Linked DNA regions of Coturnix japonica. The protein of the gene in region 1 interacts with the protein of each later gene in a pairwise test. Links are inferred from orthologs where the notes say so. Each region holds a gene or a part of one and is shown on either strand. Other genes may lie near its edges. The genes, in order: ABTB1, EEF1A2 and CUL3.

The links.
Region 2: the proteins of ABTB1 (region 1) and EEF1A2 interact in binary tests that used the Homo sapiens proteins (3 or more experiments, as listed by UniProt). The two-hybrid records come from large-scale screens. The link is inferred for Coturnix japonica from reciprocal best matches to the Homo sapiens genes ABTB1 and EEF1A2.
Region 3: the proteins of ABTB1 (region 1) and CUL3 interact in binary tests that used the Homo sapiens proteins (3 or more experiments, as listed by UniProt). The two-hybrid records come from large-scale screens. The link is inferred for Coturnix japonica from reciprocal best matches to the Homo sapiens genes ABTB1 and CUL3.

Annotation. Positions count from the first base shown.
Region 1 is NC_029527.1:7,315,242-7,318,895, reverse strand, and holds part of ABTB1 (ankyrin repeat and BTB/POZ domain-containing protein 1), read left to right. Parts: intron 1-273; coding exon 274-418; intron 419-1,705; coding exon 1,706-1,865; intron 1,866-2,809; coding exon 2,810-2,855; intron 2,856-3,654. UniProt on the Homo sapiens protein: May act as a mediator of the PTEN growth-suppressive signaling pathway. May play a role in developmental processes.
Region 2 is NC_029535.1:8,081,655-8,084,649, reverse strand, and holds the end of EEF1A2 (elongation factor 1-alpha 2), read left to right. Parts: intron 1-670; coding exon 671-927; intron 928-1,475; coding exon 1,476-1,710; intron 1,711-2,057; coding exon 2,058-2,185; 3' UTR 2,186-2,407; downstream 2,408-2,995. UniProt on the Homo sapiens protein: Translation elongation factor that catalyzes the GTP-dependent binding of aminoacyl-tRNA (aa-tRNA) to the A-site of ribosomes during the elongation phase of protein synthesis.
Region 3 is NC_029524.1:6,974,384-6,978,037, reverse strand, and holds part of CUL3 (cullin-3), read left to right. Parts: intron 1-524; coding exon 525-670; intron 671-2,441; coding exon 2,442-2,618; intron 2,619-3,478; coding exon 3,479-3,649; intron 3,650-3,654. UniProt on the Homo sapiens protein: Core component of multiple cullin-RING-based BCR (BTB-CUL3-RBX1) E3 ubiquitin-protein ligase complexes which mediate the ubiquitination and subsequent proteasomal degradation of target proteins.

The DNA.
Region 1 (3,654 bases):
CTTTTCAGAACACTGCTGGAATCATGCTGAGACACTTATTACAAAAATCAGCATAAATGAGTCACGGTGTCTTCAGAAAGGGATGAAGTGGTGGAAGAACAGCATTAGGTGATGCAAGTGTAGGGGGAGTTGAATTTTCATAATAAAGCAGAGTAGCATAAGAGGTGACAGAGAAAGACGTCACCAGCCAAGTAACACACTTGTTTAGTGATCATTCAGAGACACGTGGAAGATGTAGCTGCCTGCTGACATGCACCTGTTGCCATTTTGTAGGCGCAAAATGTGAAGCAAACACATTTGATGGGGAACGTTGTTTGTATGGGGCGTTGAGTGATGCCATCCGACGTCTGCTGAAGGAGTACAAGCAGATCACAGCAAAGTGCATGAAAAGAGACTACTATGATGTCTTCCTGCAGCGGTAAGCAGATGGAATAGCTCCGTTTGCCATGCGTTTTGTCATCCTTCCTTAGCTGCTAACTTAGAAATTCAAGCCCTCTGTTAAATGGTGATTTGAAAGTCAGCTAATCAGAACCCTATCGTATTCCTGGGCATGTAGGGCTTTCTAAGCGATATTCCTCCATGCACTAAGGGTTGACTTCCAGATACACAAAACATTTCAGATATAGCATCTACTAACCTAGGTACAAACTCCACAGACAGTGGAAAGCTGGTCTTTGTAATGCAGAAGTGTTAGAATGTCATCCTTGACTGTTAAAATCAGATCACTAAAACCACAGCAGCAATTTAGGATAAATATCAGCTAAAATTCATTTTCAGGCCTAAAGCAGTAACAGCCTACAAACCTACAAACTGAGGTTTCCAGCAGTGATAAGAGGTGTCTCATTTCTGCAATACTCAATTTGGGACTTCTTTAGGCTCTCTTACAGGGAGGTTGCTCTGTTCTTTCTTTCTGTTTACATGAAAACCAAAATGTCCTGTTTTCCACTTCTCATTCTGAACAGACCTTGCATTAAGATTGATACAAAAGACAACAGTAGGGGGTGAAAAATAAACACAACTGTTTCTGTTTTGTTTTGGGCAAGACGTTAGTAGGAAGGATGTTCTAGTGGCAGAAAATTAAGGTCAGCATTCAAGACTCTGCTTTGATATCAGCTGCTTGTATAATCCCACACCTTTCTGGACATCAGTCCTGCTCTCTAAAGGGAGTATAATGCCTGTCTTCTGCCTCATTTGACCTTTTGTTGATGTTTGTGAAAACAGAAACCCAAGAGGTGATGTGTATCGGGAAACACTGATAATGGATGCCAGAAGTCTTTTAAGTAGCAATCTTGTATTTCTCCTTTTAAATAATGAGGGAAGTTATGGGTGTGCAAACATAAACAGGGCTTCATCTCTTATGTGGTAATCTGTGCTGCGTGGTTGTAACATCCTTCCGTCATCTAAGGGTGTGTCATCTCAAGTCCTTTCCTGTTTGCTGCATGGTTAGGGCATGCACGTTGACAGCAGCCTGAGAGGAGGAAAATTGCACCTTATCTGGTGGTGGGGTAATTCTTTTGTGAAAGCGTGTGCATCATATTAGATAAGAGGCATCTAGACAAAGCAGTCTTTTAAACCTTTTTTCCCCTGCGCTCTGTGACCTGTTGTTCATTTTTAGAGCCCAGTTGTGCCATGTCTCCCACTAGCTTTGCTCCATTCTCTCCTTTTTAATTCTGCAACAGTTTTCCTCTCTTCTTGTTCCCTGCAGGTTGCTGGAGCAGGGTTATCAAAGTGACATCGTTTTCATTGTTCATGGCAAATCCTTCTGTGCCCACCGCTGCATTCTCAGTGCTCGCAGTGCCTACTTTTCAGAAATGTTTGAGACCAAGTGGAAGGGAAAGAGCATGATAGCGCTGAAGCACCCACTGGTGAGCATGGCTGTTATTGTTGCCTTTTCTTTCTTTTCTTATTTTGGCTGTATGAGAAAAGTGAATGGGAAGGATGATTTGAGGGTTAATCTCCATACTGTGTAGCTCTTGGAGCTCAGTGTGACCCTAGGTAAGGAGAAAGGCTTGTGAAGGCACTCTCTCCATAAAATAACATCTTGTTCAGATGACAAAAGGCATGTTGACTGCATACTTTGCCTTTGTTCCCTCTATCATCGGCTCAGATATAGCTTAATTAATTGCAGTAGCAGGTAGCTGTTACCATCTGCCAGCTGTGTCACAGCTCCTCTGTGGGATGAGTTGAATTTGTCTTAATTCCTGGTGGACAGGTGGTCTGTAGTGAAGACATCACCTCCATAATTGGCACTAATTGAGTCCCTTTTGTTGCATTTACAGAAAGAACTAAATAGGCTGTTAAGTGCATTCCATCCATTAATCACCAATACTCTGGCATATGTTTCTATAGCTTAATTGCAGCAGTGCAAAGCCTCTTGTGGAAAACATATTTCCAGTTTCTCAGGGCATTACTTAGCGTCTCTCCTTTCTCTTTGTGTAAGAACAGCCTGCACTTCAAATTAAAAAGAAGAGCTGGAAATGTTTGATACCAGTAAAAGACTGGATTTTACAGAGTCTGCAGTAAAACTGTCTTTGGAGCACCTCTGTTAGTTTGGTCCTGTCTCCTGGGCACATGGATCAGTAGCAGCCAGTATATTTGAAAAGCTGTGTAAACCAGATGGAGTGGCATCATTACTTATGCAGGGAGCAAGGAAATTGGGTGTTCAGACTGCTGTGTCTGAGGTGCCATTTAGATGTGGTATGTGTGTGGCTTTTTTCTGAGCAGGATCATGTTTGTATCCATTCAAGTTTCAAGCTTGTTATTAAATTCCTGGTAATTCTCAAGGTAACGTTCTTATATTTTGTTTTAGATTAATCCCACAGCCTTTGGCTCTCTGCTGCAATATCTATACACAGGTAAATCATTTACTGTATGTGTATATTTGGCTGGGTGGCTGCTGTCTGTCCCTCTGCCGTAGCACAGTTTGGGTGGCTCTGACTTGCAGACACGTTTGGATACACAAGTAGCCAACGTATCCTTTCTGCTGGCAAAGAGAAGAATGCGAGCAATCCACAGCTCTTCCAAGTTTGTACTTTGTTCCAGTTTCCATGCCTATTGAAAGCCCAGCTTCCCGTACAAGACATTTTCAGTCTGACAGATCTGAGCAGTGCACTCTGAATGATTTGATTACTTGCTGATTATTTTTTCTGAGCAGAAGTTAAACTTCAGTAAAACTTCCATCAAGAAATCAGATGCTGTGTTGTAGGCATGTTGAGTGCTGAACTGCTTCAGGCCAGGAGGTGGTGCCAGAAAATAACTTCAAGGTTGTCCTCCAGTCTGGTGTTTTCAGAACTGTTCCTCACCATGTTTTCGGTCATGGTAAAAGATTCTGGGATGACAGCTTATTGGCTTAAAGTCTTTTCTCACCCTAAGCTAGAAAACCCATGGTAGCAGTCACGCATACTGCTGTTGTGGTGGTCTTTTATTTTTCTGAGAGAATTTGGAGCCCTTTTGAATAAACCTGTTAAATCTTCTTGAATGAAGCTGTTAGGGTAGACACTGGAAGATGGGAATGTGAATCATATGCCAAACTGCTGTGCACCGAGCGGGGACTGGTGAGGTAGCAAATCTTAGCTTCTTGGAACAAGTGTAACCTCACGCTGAAAGATGAGGCACTGTATCTAATTAATGAATTTCTGTGCCATCTAGTCTTCA
Region 2 (2,995 bases), on another chromosome or scaffold:
CCCAAATGCTGGTGTCCATCAGCAGCACCTTCATGTGCCCAGCTGCACCACGGGACCAGCCTTTTAGGGAACATGGACAGTGACGTGGGCACGTCTCAGGGCTTTAAATATCCCTTCGCTCTCTGTCCTGCTGGCAGCACTGGGCAGCCCTGCAGAGCCATTTCCAGTCCTTTCCATACTTTCCAAAGAACACGTGCATTGCAGAAATCAGCCATGTTGAGTGTTGCTCCCTTGCTTTTAGGAAGCATTTTAATGCAGGCTTTTGTTTGCAACAGAGATGAGGGATGGTGGGCAGCTCTGCATCCTCCTCCACCCCAGCTGGGGGAAAGACAGGGTTTTGCCAAGGGATTAGGCAGGTCCTTAGGAAGCAGAGACACTATGGGAAGGGTGGAAGTGAAGGCAATAGAGTTGGTGTGGAATAGTGGATGGATCCCACCAGCTTCTTTTCCAGGTTTTTTTCTCATAATGCTTCTTCACCTTGATCTAAAGGTGCATTTTCCACAAATCTCCCATTGACACAAGGTGTAGAATGTCCCATTCATCCAAATAGCCATCCTGTCCCCTCATGCAGTGAGGATGATGAGTCAATTGAAAGCCATTGGAGATGCCCTGCTGCCCATCACATGCTTCGTGGGTGACGTTCTGCTCTGATCTCTCCTTGTCCTTGCAGGAATTGGCACAGTTCCTGTGGGCCGAGTGGAGACCGGCATCCTGCGACCTGGTATGGTGGTCACCTTTGCACCTGTGAACATCACCACTGAAGTGAAGTCGGTGGAGATGCACCACGAGGCACTGAGCGAGGCCCTGCCTGGAGACAACGTTGGCTTCAACGTGAAGAATGTCTCTGTCAAGGACATCCGCCGTGGGAATGTCTGTGGGGACAGCAAGTCAGACCCGCCGCAGGAGGCAGCACAGTTCACGTCTCAGGTCAGCTGATTAGAGTTCTATTCTGTTCCATTCCACTTTTGCTCTGCTTCCACTCCATTCCATTCCACTCTACTCTATACCCTTCCACTCCACTCCATTCCATTTTGTCCCCAACATCCAGCAGCTCACAGCCTTGCACAGCTGACACTGAGGAGATAAAACCTAGGGGAGCAGAATACCCACCAGGGAAAGATGCACATTCTAGAGGTTGCCTGGGGTTTAAGCCTTGGGTTTGCAATTTGCACACTGGTGCATGTGAAAATGGTTGCTCCCTCTCCCAAATGCAGCTGGCTCTGGTGGAGAGCAGGACTAGGTAATAACTCACAGTGAGGTACCTGCACCCATGTCCTTCTGGGTGCTGAATAAATAAATAATAGCTTAAGTAACACTTTAAACAAAAGAAGGATTCTGCCATGAAAGCCAATTAGCTCTTCTCTGTGTGTGTAGCAGGAGATGGCATTGATTTCCAAACCTTGCAGGTCCTTGCTGGCACCGAGCTATGCAAGACACCATAGCCGAGTCCCTTTGGATCTTGTTGTGTCCCATAGGTGATCATCCTGAACCACCCTGGGCAGATCAGTGCTGGATACTCACCTGTCATCGACTGCCACACCGCACACATCGCCTGCAAGTTCGCTGAGCTGAAGGAGAAGATCGACCGACGCTCTGGCAAGAAGCTGGAGGATGGCCCCAAGTTCCTGAAATCTGGAGACGCTGCCATCGTGGATATGATTCCTGGCAAACCCATGTGTGTGGAGAGCTTCTCCCAGTACCCACCCCTTGGTAAGGGAATGGCTCCTGCGTTGTGTCCCATGGAAGAGCATGGAGGCTGCTTGGGTGCAGACCTCACGCTGGTCATACTGAACCTCCCACTGATCAGATGGGGGGCAGAGGGAGGTGAATGTGTTCCATTGCTGCTCCATCTGCAAAATCTGATGCATGAGCTGGGTTAGGGTGGGTGAGACAGGCTATCTCCTGGGCTGGGTTTTCCCTCTGGGAATCACTGCAACCCAACAGTGGCTATGCAGGAGTGTTTCTCAGCTTCCTGACACAAAACTGATCAGGGGAAGAATCAGAACCTTTCAGGGGCTGGCACAGTCATGTCACTCACATCCTCCTCCATTCCCCAGGCCGCTTTGCTGTCCGTGACATGCGGCAGACCGTGGCTGTGGGCGTCATCAAGAACGTGGAGAAGAAGAGTGGCGGGGCTGGCAAAGTCACCAAGTCTGCCCAGAAGGCCCAGAAAGCTGGGAAATGAATTGTGGGCTCCCAGTGCGTAGCGCAGAAACCATCCCTGACACCAGGACGCTGCCACCGTCTCCCCCCGGCGCATGTGTGCACATCAGCTTGTAAGAGTTTATATGTCAACGACTGGATGCTCACCATTAAGGTCCAGTGGAAATTCTTTAAAAGGAAAAGCATGTTCCAGCGTTTGTGAGGCTTCATGTTAATTTTACCAATAAAACTGGTACAACATCCACAGTGGGAAAAAAGAAAATAATAACAAACAAAACAAACCAACCAACAACAACCAAACCAAACCAACCAACCCCAAAGGTGTGGAGCTCTGTGTGTGTGTGTGTCATTGAGAGGGGCTGGTTTCTTGGGGTCTGTGTGGGAGAGATGTTGGGATGGCCATAGCCAGGGATGGGAGCATCCATGGGCACCCAACACCAGCCATTCCCTGGCTCTCACCAGGTTTATGGGCTCATTTCATTGACATAAAGCAGGGACTGCTCTTGCAGTGGAGGTTTTGATATTCTCCTTAACCTGCTCAACTCTCTAATATCAATTAACAGGGCCCTTAATTATTATACTTTCCATTCTGAATAAGCTGGAGTTAACCCCTTAATGTTATTCCACTTAAAGGGAGAAAACAGCAACCCCATGCGTCCTTGAAAAGCTAGCGATATCACTTTTATACTATTTAATAATGTTGGGAGAAGTGTCCAAAGATTTCCTTCCCCCACCTGCAGCAGATCCCCCAAAAGCCTTTCTCACCCAAAAGAAGCCATAAGCAGAGGGCAGAGGTGCCCAATGGCTGCCCAGAGCCCCAGAATTCAAGGTG
Region 3 (3,654 bases), on another chromosome or scaffold:
AAGAATTAATATAACATTTATAGGCATTGGTTTAATATAGCTGTGAAGTTTTTTACATAAGAGGTGTACAAGGCTTCCTCTTCAAAAGCCATCTTTAAGCTAAGTCAGTTCTCCTGATTTTAGGTATATGAAACAAAGTAGTGAGAATTTATGCAGTTATTCCTTTAAGACAGTATAAATTAAGTTCAGCTAAACAAATGCAAATTAAACTCATGTTTTTACTGGTTTTGTGGGTTTGTTTTTTGCTTTATAAAAGTATCTCATTCATATTGTCTTATTTGTTTTAACATCATATTTGATTTTGGGATGGTAGACTTAGAAGATACATTCTTATAATAGCACAAATAAAAGGGATTTTGGTGAAAGTAAAGAAAAGGGGGCAAAAGTTTCCATCCAGTACCTAAGCTGTTACAGGATGCTTTTGTCTCTCGAATGAGTGAACTCTTCTGCTGTTTGTTGTCTTTTGCTGTGAAATGGATGAGTTACAGAGGGCATCATGCATATCATCTCATTCTTTTCTGCAGACCTTGCTTGCATGTACAAGTTGTTTAGTCGTGTGCCGAACGGTCTGAAGACAATGTGTGAGTGCATGAGCTCGTACCTGAGAGAGCAAGGCAAAGCTCTAGTTTCTGAAGAGGGAGAAGGAAAGAATCCAGTTGACTACATTCAGGTAGTTAAATATTTTAAAACTTTCTTTCCTTCATCTTTCCCATATTCTCCAGAGTAACATGATTAATATGAGAAACCTCTTAACGTTGACTCAGAAGGGTTAATTATTTATTAATAAACTACTTTTATACTTCTATTTCAAATGTGCACATTTTTAATTTTGGAAATGTTTAGAACTCCTAAGTGGCTTGGGAAGTACAAGCTCATAATTAGTGGTTTTTTGGTATCTACTTGATTAAAATATTCAAACCAGTTATATAAGACCTTGAAACTTTTTGGTTAATTGTAAATTGTATTTACCTCCAGACTGAATTTTATCCTAAGAAGCTCCTTAGCAACTGTTTAATGTAATTTTGTGCAGTGTTGCCTATTGATGTTCAGGATGGAATTTCATAGCAAGATTCTTATGGTTTACAACATTCACCTCTCGCTCACAGTTTAATTACTAGCTTCATTCTTGGTCTCCCTGAGAGGTGTAACATTTATGTGTATTAGGAGGTGTTTTGTTGTTCTCCATTTCGCTAAGATGTTGTTTAGCATTAATTTACCAAGACCATAAAATGTGCTTCAGGAGTTTTGCCATCTTTTCTTTCCTCCCATCGTCTCTGAGAATATAGCTCTAATTTCTTCCAGAGTTCATTGAAATTTAAGTAAACATCTGATAGCTGAAAATGTTCTACACTTGGTATCAAAATGTGGGTTTGTTAAATATGTTCATTTTTTACAAATGTGTAGCTGCAGTCCTTTTGTCTGGTCTTTAAAAGAAGCATTTAATGTTGTGTATCTATTATCTCTGATACTTTGTTGGAAAACAATAAATTTACTAGAACTGGTTACTATTACAAAAAGCCATTTGAGTATAGAAACATTTTTGTTCAAACTGCTAGTTGTCTGGCAGTGCTGAAGCAAACTTCTTAGCTAATTTGGACATGAATGATTCCCCAGTGATTGTTAAAAAGAAGAAAATACTGTATGAACTTCCTTACCTATAAAGATTCTGGGCTGTTGTGTTTTTGTGGTAGTGCGATTTATTAAAAACAAAACAAAACAAAAAAAGCAAGTAATATGTAAAATAGGTGTCTGAAGTAATTTTCACTCTTTTAGAATTCTGTTTGACCCAAGGGGAGTATCTTAAGAGACTTAAAAGCTGGGGAAAAGTTAAATATTTAATTATAAAGATGCTATCAATATATCTTGCTACAAAGTTGAGTACCTGGTGAAGCTGAAGAAGGCTTACGGCCATGTTGCATGTGCTTTGTCATCCACAGCCCAATTAGTATTTGCCCCCAGTATCTCATGAAGATGTTCTAAGAAGGAATCGATATTTGATTAATGCTAAACCTCTAAAAATATTTATTCTCCCATTAACTTGATAGAAGAAAAGAAAAATGAGTAGAGAAACCAACTTAATCCTTTTAGTCATGCTAACCTGAAGCTTTCAAGAACTTTAATACCAGTAAGAAGATAGACAGGGAAGATACATTGTACTATCAAGAAAAAGTCTCCATAGTTCAGTACTGCTTCTGCAATGTGACATTGCCAAACCCTCAGCATCATTGGTGACATGATTGCAAAAGCATTTCCAGGGGGTTGAATTTAAAACTCCTTGAAATAATGGAAGGGATGTTGAAATCCTATTGTGATTTAAGGTACTAACAGCTTCTCCTGTTCAACACCGGGTTGTTCAGGTGGTGTGCTTTACATCATTTGTTACTTCTGTTTTCACAACTTAAAGTTTCAAATCAGTAAAAATGTTTGTACTTTTTTTTAAGGGTTTACTGGATTTGAAGAGTAGGTTTGACCGCTTTCTCCAAGAATCTTTCAACAATGACCGACTCTTCAAACAGACTATTGCGGGTGACTTTGAATATTTCCTCAACCTCAACTCTAGGTCTCCAGAGTACCTCTCATTATTTATTGATGATAAGCTGAAAAAAGGAGTCAAGGGAGTAAGTATAAATTAAATTAAAAGGTCGTACTGTTTTCTGTGCAAATTTGGATCAGATGAAACAAAGGTGATTTTCTGAGAATGATTTTTATATGAAGGTAAATAGCACCATTGCCTTTTTCCAACAAAGAAAGAAGCTGTAACACACACCTGAGCCCGTTGCACTTTAGGGCTAAACTTATATAAAGTGCACAAGGATATCTCAGGATGTGTAGCTTGACCTCCATCTCGCTCTCTTGGAAATGAAATTAGATTGTATTAAGTTCTGCAGTTCTCTTTTTTGGAAGCCTGATCAGTTCCTTAAGTATATTTACAGTTCAGTAGTTATTCCCAATACTTAATGATTCTCTTGCAAAGTAATTCACTTGGTTAGCCAGTCAAATAAGCAATTCCTATTGTTTATAAAGATAAGTAATCATTGTATTTTTTGTGGCACAAGACAGGCTTTGCAAAATCAGTCTAAAAATGTAAAAATCTTAGTTCTAAGCTGACTTTCCATGTCCAGCTTTAGTTGCTGATGCTGGCTTGTAGTTGTGCTTCTTTGCAGTTCTTTTTTTTTAATGCTTCAATATGTATGGTCATCAGGAAAATTTCACTGTTTTATCAGGAGTTTTAACCAGTTGTTGCTCCTGTCTCCCTCACCGTTGCTTCTTCCTACATTTTTTGATGGTTATTTTCTCCCTTTTTCTGGATTTGTGGACTGTTCTTTGGGCTCTGTTGTTCATATGGCAGAGCAGTTTTGTTATTTTCCTTCTAGGCCACTCTTACACCATATACTTGCTGTGAATTGCTTAAAGTATGCAGCTTATATATGACATTCATCCTGGAAGACTAAAACCAGTCTTATTATTTCTTCCACAGCTAACAGAGCAAGAAGTAGAAACTATCTTGGATAAGGCAATGGTTTTATTTAGGTTTATGCAGGAGAAAGATGTTTTTGAGCGGTATTATAAGCAGCACTTGGCAAGAAGACTTCTTACAAACAAGAGTGTTTCAGATGACTCTGAGAAAAATATGATATCTAAATTAAAGGTAAG